Linked DNA regions of Canis lupus familiaris. Each later gene encodes a partner of the first gene's protein in a complex. Links are inferred from orthologs where the notes say so. Each region holds a gene or a part of one and is shown on either strand. Other genes may lie near its edges. The genes, in order: ROPN1L and DYDC1.

Region 1 (4,369 bases):
ACAGTCAGTAGTTTAGTGTTTGCTCCCAGAATGTGCAACAGGTAAATGTATATTCACAGACTCTGCTCTGTTAGGTGCTTTTTTTCACTTCATATTTCGTGAACATCTTTTTATGTCAATACCTAAGTAGCTATCTTATTTTAAAATTCTGGCTGAATTATTTTCTGTTGTGTGGCTAAGATTATGATTTAAAATGTTCTGAAAGAATTAGTTTACCAATTTTATTATGTGCTTTACTAAACATTTTGGTCCATATTACTTTATATACTCAGGCTAGTATTTCTATAGGATAAATCTATAGATTGCTAAGTCATCAAAATACAGTGCCAAATGGCCCCCAGAATGTACTAATTAACACCTCTGTCATCATTGTAGGAGATTCCTTGTTTTTCCATTTTGCATCAACACTAAATAGTGACTTTTCAGTTTTTGCTAGTGTGCCGTTAATTTGGAAATGTGTCCCCTGGTGGGGGAGTAATGGATGGGGGTGATACCTCTAGGGCAGGAGGAAGGGTTTGTCATTGACGACTCCTGGAAATAGCCGGGTCTAGGTCTCCATCTTTCTGGCTAGAAGTGAGCAGGGGAAGGCAGGTGGGTAGCCACAGCTCTGATTCACACCTTGTATGCTGCCCTGGTCAGGATTCACCAGAACCGAGTAGCTCTCCTATCCTTTGACCCAAAGTTCATGTATCCGAAGACAGTTTATGTCCTTCTAGACCCAATCAGCCTCAATCATTGTCTTGAGCTGAAAATCGCCCCGTCTAAACTCTTGAAGTGGCTCTTAAATCGGAAGGCCTGGGCAGTGAGAACAGCGCGAGTGAAGGTCTGAAGGCCTGGACGGCTTGGACAGGGTGTTAGACGGTGGCTTGGCGCGGACCGGATGGCAGACGGGGGCTCGGTTTGCACGCGGTGCAGATGGTTTGGACGTGGGGCAGGCGGGCATCGTGCAGCCTGAGCGAGACCCGGGAGGACGGCGAGGGGCAGGTTCCTTCGCGCGGGGGCGCTCGTGCTCCCTGCGCCGACCGGCCCCGCGGCCGTGACGCCTTCCTTCCGAGGACGACCGAGCCCCCTAGTCCTTAAGCCTCACGTAGCCAGAGCAAGGGAAAGGGTGTGTGTGTGGGGGGGGGGGGGGGGGCTTGTGAATTCTCCCTTCACATCGCAATGGGAAATCGATCAAATGATCTAAGTGAAACGTTCAGCGAAAGGCAAAAAAAGGCCAGAGCCAGACTGCGCAAGCGCAGTGCCTGCCCCGAGCCGAGCCGAGCCGAGCCGAGCCGAGCCGAGCCGAGCCGAGCCGAGCCGAGCCGAGCCGAGCCGAGCCGAGCCGAGGGGCGGGGCCCGCGGGCGTCCCGGTTGCCTGGATACTCCGCGAAACAATCGCTGCCGCGGGCGCTTTCGGGCGGTCGCGGGGAGGGGCAGTTGGTCCTCACTTTCCGCGGAGCCCCAGGAGCCCGAGGAGGAGCGGGTGAGGCCCCCGGCCGGCCGCCCGGACCTCGCGAAGCCGGCCTCCTGGCCGCCCCCGGTCCCCCCGCCGGGCTCCAAATCCGGGGGAGGCAGGGCAGCCCGAGGCCCACGGGTTCGCCCTCCTCCACGCAGCCCATCTTGATTCTTCCCAGCCTGGTCCGGTCCGCGGAGAGCGATGCCGCTGCCCGACACCATGTTCTGCGCGCAGCAGATCCAGATTCCGCCGGAGCTGCCGGACATCCTGAAGCAGTTCACCAAGGCTGCGATCCGCACCCAGCCCGCCGATGTGCTGCAGTGGTCCGCGGGGTAAGCGCCTCGGTGGCCGCCGGCCGGTCTGCGAGCCGGGTCGTGCCCCTGGCCCTCCCGCCTGCAGCCCCGGTGCGACGCGCGGGTGGTGTCTGCACCTGAGGACCTGTCTAGGAACCATCCCGGTTGATTGAGTTTCCCAGCAGTCGCTGCCAAATGCTCCCTTTCCTGCAAAGGCATGACAGCTCCACTGTTGGAGACTGGTACTTGCTCAGACCGAAACTTAAAAAGCGATTGCATTCGGTAAAAAGTTTCTGCATTGTGTGATAAAATCAAACTACTCCACTCCCTTTATTTTATTTGTGAAATGGTTTTTTACAAGGTTTCTTGTAAGGCTAAGCTGCTCATTCTGGAGAATCCTCCCACCCTGTTGAGTTTTTTTTTTTTTTTTTTTAAGATTTTTCAAAAATTCATTTATTCGGGGGCGGTGGGGAGGCGCGGAGACACAGGCAGAGGGAGAAGCAAGCTCATGCAGGGAGCCCGACGTGGGACTCCAGGATCATGCCCTGGGCTGCAGGCGGCGCTAAGTTTCTTAGATCAAAGCCCCCGAGGTCATGTTGGGGTAATTATCCCAATGCTGCAATAAGGTTAAACTTTGCTCAACTTAGTTCCCAGAAGGCAAATAAGCCTTCACCCTTTCTTGCAGCATTGTAGCTATTTTCAGGAATGGTCATAGTTTCAAAGTTACAAAGTTAACAGGCCTTAGAACCTTTAAAGTAAACCCATTAGGTTTCGAAAGGAAAGCTCTTTGCCTCTCTTCAGTAGACAGACTTAGAAACTCAATTTTATGATTACAAGAACCAGTATAAAATTAAATGTTTTGGGGCACCTGAGTAGTTCGGTAATTAAGCGTGTTCTTTTGGCAGGTCATGATCTCAGGGGCCTGGGATCCAGCCCCAGGTGGTGCTGCTTGTTCAGCAGAATCTGCTTCTCCCTTTGTCTCTGCTCCTCCCCCTGTTCATGCGCGCTCTCTCTCTCTCTCTCTCTCTCAAATAAGTAAAATCTTTTTTAAAAATTAAATGTTTTAGTAACTAGCATGTCAGATTTCACTGACCTCTAAATGGTATAAATAACCAAGGTGAGTTAGTTTCCTTTGGCCACTATAACAAATAACCACAGATTTTGATGGATTAAACAACAGGCATGTATTGTCTTATTGTTCTGGAGGCTGAAAGTCCAAAATCCGTTTCACCTAGCTAAAGTCAAATTGTCAGAGGCCCTACGGAGAATCGAATCGCTTGCTTGCTTGCCTTTTCCCGCTTTTGGAGCTGCATTCTTTGTGTTCTTTGGCTCATGGCCCCTTCCTCCATCTTTAAAGCTGATGCATTTAGGACCCATCAAGATAATTCAGGATAATTTTTCTACCTCAGAATCCTCTCTCACATCTATACAGTTCCTGTCACCATGCAAAATAAGATACACAGCTTCCAGGATTAGGGGCCCTTAGTGAACCCACCACAAGGCTACTTATTAATCCAGTGCTTCACCTTGTGACAGGCACTTCTGTCAGTTGCTTCTGCAAGATTCTCTCAAGGGTCTTGCCCAAAAAAATCATGGCCTCTGGTTTTAACCGTCATTCAAGCATCAATGAAAGGACGCACAAGCGTCCTTTGTACTTGTACTTAACAGAACATTTGTTCTGTACAATAACATTTATTATTTGTACTTAACAGAACATTCCGAGATTAAATCATTTTCTTTCTTGGGACTTTAAATTATTTTAATTTAAGCTTCACTTTAATTTAAAAGGCATAATTGAGAACTTTCTGGATGTTCCATGCAACTAATTTTCTCTCAACAATTTTGGAGCTTAGGAGGAAAAGCAGGCGTCATTCACTAAGTGGTGCGTGTGAAATGGGCTTGTATGAATCCCAGCTGTCGCAGCATCTGTTGGGGTGAGAGGTTGCTCAGAAGAGGGCGAATTGCTCTTTGAGGTTAAGACAAGGCTAGGGCATTCCGGGGAGAGGAACAGCATACGAACAAAGGAGAGGTGACAAGAAGAAAAACAAAAAAGCTAAAAACAAAGCAGAGAACCAGGAATCACAGGTGGGTACCTGCTGGGGAAGATGCACAAGCAAGGCTTTCAGGTGCACAGGTCCATCAGCCTGGCCCCCAGCTTGATGCGGCCACTAGGGGACCGTCTGTGTTCTGTCACCAGTGCCCCACGCAGGGTGCCCCTCTCAGGGTGCCCCGCGCAGGGTGCCCCGCACAGGGTGACGGGGGGGGGGGGGTGTGTGTGTGTGTGAGAATTGGTCCAGTGCTAGAGGCTGCTTTCTGCTCGCATGTGCCTCCAGGGACTAGCACCGGGAGGCTTGACCCTCTTGCAGACTCTCAGCCTTGGCCCTGTTGAGCCCATGACAGGATAATGGCTGGGGAGTGTGGGGGTATGCGGGTGTCTGGGCAGTAGGACCCTGAGCAGCATCCTGACCTATACCCGCTAGAGGCCAGTAGCACCACCCACCCCCTCTTGTGACAACCACAGAGGTCTCCAGATTTTGCCCCCGGGGCAGTGGGTGGGAGGACTGTTGGGAACCACTGCTCTAGAGGGTGTGGAGCTGGGTGATGGGTTCGGTCGGTGAGGAGGAGGAGGAATAAAGTC
Region 2 (4,410 bases), on another chromosome or scaffold:
GAGGGTAGTTTTAGAAAATCATAATACCCATAATATCATAATACTCTACCTCAAAAATAAAAACAAACAAACAAAAAACCCCAAAAGTCCATGAATCTCCAAGGACAAAAAAGTAAACAAAAAAATTCAACCTTCGAGGAATAGCATATGAAGCTCCTCACACTTTGGCCCCAATTTCTTTTTTTTCTTTTAAGACTTTATTTATTTATTCATGATAGACACACAGAGAGAGAGAGGCAGAGACACAGGCAGAGGGAGAGGCAGGCTCATGCCAGGAGCCCGACGTGGGACTCGATCCCAGGACTCCAGGATCACACCCTAGGCCAAAGGCAGGTGCTAAACCGCTGAGCCACCCAGGGATCCCCTGGCCCCAATTTCTTCTCAGGCTCACCCCAGACCTCTCCCCTGCCGCCAGCATATCCTGGGCTCTGACAACCCTCAGCAGTCTGCCATCCTGACAGCCACGCCTTGCACACCGCCATCTCCAAGACTTCTGCCCATAACGCTTTCTCTCTATCTCCCAGCTGAGGAAACATCTCCTCGCCTGCAAGATGCTGGCCCTCTCTCATTCCCTGGACTTTCCCAAGCAACGCAAAGAAGCCCCACCTTCTCCAAGCGACTCACACAGCACTTGTCATGCACGCCGAGATCGTGTGTGTACACACATGTCTGTCCTCCTGCTAGAAGACAAGCTCCTCCAGCTCCTCAAGGAGTGTGTTTTAATCACAGGGCAGGCGTGCTGGCTCTCCGTGGAGGCACGTGAATGACTTCCTCCATCCTCCCAGTAATGTCCCAGTCTATGCAGTTATGAAGGTGGACAGGAACAATCTTAGACCAGACAGGAAGGAAGGAAGGAAGGAAGGAAGGAAGGAAGGAAGGAAGGAAGGAAGGAAGGAAGGAAGGAAGGAAGGAGAGAGGGAGGGAAGGAAGGAAAGAAGGAAGGAGAGGAAGGGAGGGAAGGAGGGAGGGAAGGAGGGAAATAAGGAAGGAGAGGGAGGGAGGGAAAGAGGGAAAGAAGGAAGGAAGGAAGGAAGGAAGGAAGGAAGGAAGGAAGGAAGGAAGGAAGGAAGGAAAAGAAGGAAGGAGGGAGGGAAGGAAGGAAAGAAGGAAGGAGGCAGGGAGGAAAGAATATAGCAAACACTGTACTTCCGGTGCTTTGAAAAAAAACTATCACTCTCAAATTACCCTTATGGAAACCAGTCACTTCTAAGAATCTAATGAAATGTCTTCATCATTCAGTAAATATATACTATACGCATCATTGGTCAGGTATGAGCTGAACATGAGAGAACAGAATGCCAGCATGTCTAGGCCTGTCCCTGGACAAATGCACCAAATGTTCTGCATAAAATTTCAGAAACAACAACCTCCTGAGGTTCATCCTTCAATCCCCAAAGTGCTCTCTCTCATTTGACGATGGTGAGGGTACAAAATGGTATAACCCCTGCGCAGAGGAATTTGGCAGTATCTAGAAAATTACGTAAGTATTTACCCTTTAAACCATTGATCTCACTTGTCGGATCTTAACTTGCAAAAATATGGAGCGATGATATGTGCATGTGGTTATTTTGCTCCATTACTTAGAACAGTCAAACTGGAGCCTCATCCAAAAGCTCATCATTAAGGGACTGATGAGACACAGCAACACGATGGATGACGGTGCATATATATCATATAAAAGGCACGAGGAAGATCTTTAAAATAGGGAGTGATCTCTAGGACACGGTGCAAAGTGAATTAAAAAGGTGCAGAAATTGTTTATAGAGTAAGCCACCTCTTTTGTTGAAAGCAGTGGGGAAAGGAATGTGTGTATGTGTGCCCATAAACGTGGTCATAAAAACTTAAGCTCTGCAAACTGGCACGAATGAACCGAATTCCCTTTCAAGCTGGCGTTGGTGTCTTCACCACACGGAGAGAAGAATTACAGTATCAGCGAGTGTGAGACGCAGCATCCTCACTGTGCTTCTTCGACGCGACACACTCAAAAAGACAAAAATGACGACAGTGACATCTCAATGTCACTTGAAACATAAAAGAAAGAACAGATTCGTGCTGCTGTTCCAGAAGGATAATACTCGGGAAAGGGACCATGTCCCCAAGGGAGAAACTTCTGGGCTAGGAGTAGAATCTGATCCCGAATCCTCCTGGGCACGGGATAGCAGAGCCCAGGAAGCTCCTTACTTGGCTTCCCTGGTTTCCTGTCCACGAAATGGTGATAAAACCCAACTCACAGGTTGTTATTTTTCAGACACACTAACAGGCATCTCATCTCGGCTCCAGGTAAGAAAGGCCTTTCGCAGAGACACGGCTCCCTCAAGCCTGGAGAGGCCGAACAAGAGATACAAAGAGGTCCCTTGCCCAAGCGGGGGGGGGCCGCCCAGCCTGGCGGGAGGGGAGGGGGTTCGGGTGGAGTTGCCCGATGCGGCACAAAATAATACGGATGGGACCCCTGGGTGGCTCAGTGGTGGAGCACCCGCCTTCGGCTCAGGGCGTGACCCTGGGGTCGCGGGATCGAGTCCCGCATCAGACGTTCCTCGGGGAGCCTACTTCTCCCTCGGCCTGTGTCTCTGCCTGTGTCAATCTCATGAATAAATAAATAAAATCTAATATATATACATTATATCCTATATATATATATAGGATGCCCGGGTCAATATGAATTTTGGAGAAACAGGGAGTAACGCTTAGCACAGGGCAGCATAAGCCAGCTGGTTCGTCGTCTACCTGGAGCTCACCTGTGCCGGGCTTTACCTGGCACCCTCCGACCTGGGGAGCCTGCATGGTTTCCCCATCCTGGGTCTGCAGAGGGGTCTCGGGCCTTCCGCGTCCCCTCCCCCTCCGCCCTGCGTGGCCCCGGAGGACCGGGCGGGGCGGGCCCGGAGGCGGCGGCGCTGCCAGGGCGCGGCACTAACCTCTCAGCCGGGCAGCCCGGGCGCCGCCGGGGCCCCTCCCCGCTCACCAGGCCGAGGCCGCACCCGCGGCTGCCGCGGGCCCCCCCAAGCACCCGCCGCGGGGCGGGGCGCTGGGCGTCCGCGCTGGGCATGCGCACACCCGACGCGCGCACCTACCGGCCCCGCGAGGCGCGTCCCGTCGCTAGGCAACGAGCGCGCGCCCCGGACCCAGGTGGCTCCCTGCACGCGGTAGGGGCGCGGGGGGCGGGCGGGCGGCGGGGAGGACCGGGCGCGGGTGTGGCGGGGCCTGCGACCTGCGGGAGGGAGGACGGAGCGGGGCCTGCGACCTGCGGGCAGGGAGGACCGAACCTGCCACCTGCGGGAGAGAGGACGGAGCAGGGCCTGCGGCCTGCGGGCTGGGAGGATGGAGCAGGGCCTAGAACCTGCGGGCTGGGAGGATAGAACGGAGCCGGTGGGCAGGGAGGACGGAGCTGAGCTTGCGACGTGCAGACTGGGAGGATGGAGCCGAGCCTGAGACCTGCGGGCTGGGAGGACGGAGCCTGCAACCTGCGGGAGGGAGGACGGAGCTGAGCTTGCGACCTGCAGGCTGGGAGGATGGAGCCGAGCCTGAGACCTGCAGGCTGGGAGGACGGAGCCAGAGGCGGGCAGGCCCGTGTGCACTGGGAGGGCCGGGGCGGCGGGGTCGTGGGACAGGCCGCAGAGGGCGCCTGCCCACCCAGGCTGGGAAAGTCCCATGGCCCCCTGCCGGCTCCGCACCTTTGCGGTTGCTGGTGACCCCGCCTGGCCCCTCTTGGGACCAGCACAGGTGCTTCTGCCTCCAGAAGGCCCCGCCTCCACCGCAGCAGGTCTTCCCTGACCTAGTGTTTTGTGGACAACCCTCTGCTAGCATTTCCCAGGTTCTGGATTAATCTGTGTTGGGCGGTGCTGGGCAGGAGCGGCCTCAGCCCCGGCGGTTAAGGCCAGGAGTACCAGAGTGGGCGCTGACAGCTGGGAAGGAGCGGAGGCTCTTGCCCTGGCCAGCAAGCCAGAGCCTTCGGAGATTAAGTCAAAAAATACTTGCGAGCACCCACCGTGCGCCTAGCCCTGGGAGTGTGGTGTGGCAAGGCCACCTCTGTGCTTCCCAGCCTGCCTCCTGGGTTGCTAGGCGGTGAACAGGGAGGGCGTGTGAAGGACTCCCAGAGGAGCTCTAGGAAAACTAGGCCCCTCTCCTCTGCTAAATGTGCCCTTCAGTTTGTGGAGAGAGGGCTGCAAAAGGCACCTCTTTGGCCCCTCCCTCTCCTGGCCCTGAGCTGTGGCTCTGTCATTCTGGCTCTCTTGTCTTTGCATCAAGTTTTAGTAAACCGTCAGGCTCCAAAATTCATGGAGACCATGGTTGAAAACGTGCAATTTAGAGCAGATGCTTCCTCCAGAAAGGATTTGCGGCCTACACAGGAGAGCAGGCGCTCAGGGGCTGGAAAGTGGAGAGGCTTGTGGCAGAGTGGGGATTCCGCTCCCTGGG

What was found.
Region 2: ROPN1L (region 1) and DYDC1 share a complex: the UniProt entries of both Homo sapiens proteins name them as parts of the axonemal radial spoke complex. The link is inferred for Canis lupus familiaris from reciprocal best matches to the Homo sapiens genes ROPN1L and DYDC1.

The regions. Positions count from the first base shown.
Region 1 is NC_049255.1:4,035,770-4,040,138, reverse strand, and holds the start of ROPN1L (ropporin-1-like protein), read left to right. Parts: upstream 1-1,305; 5' UTR 1,306-1,465; intron 1,466-1,616; 5' UTR 1,617-1,639; coding exon 1,640-1,770; intron 1,771-4,369. UniProt on the Homo sapiens protein: Functions as part of axonemal radial spoke complexes that play an important part in the motility of sperm and cilia. Important for male fertility.
Region 2 is NC_049225.1:30,231,224-30,235,633, forward strand, and holds the start of DYDC1 (DPY30 domain-containing protein 1), read right to left. Parts: upstream 3,085-4,410; 5' UTR 3,069-3,084; exon of another isoform or gene 2,913-3,068; intron 2,888-2,912; exon of another isoform or gene 2,736-2,887; intron 766-2,735; exon of another isoform or gene 625-765; intron 1-624. UniProt on the Homo sapiens protein: Functions as part of axonemal radial spoke complexes that play an important part in the motility of sperm and cilia. Plays a crucial role during acrosome biogenesis.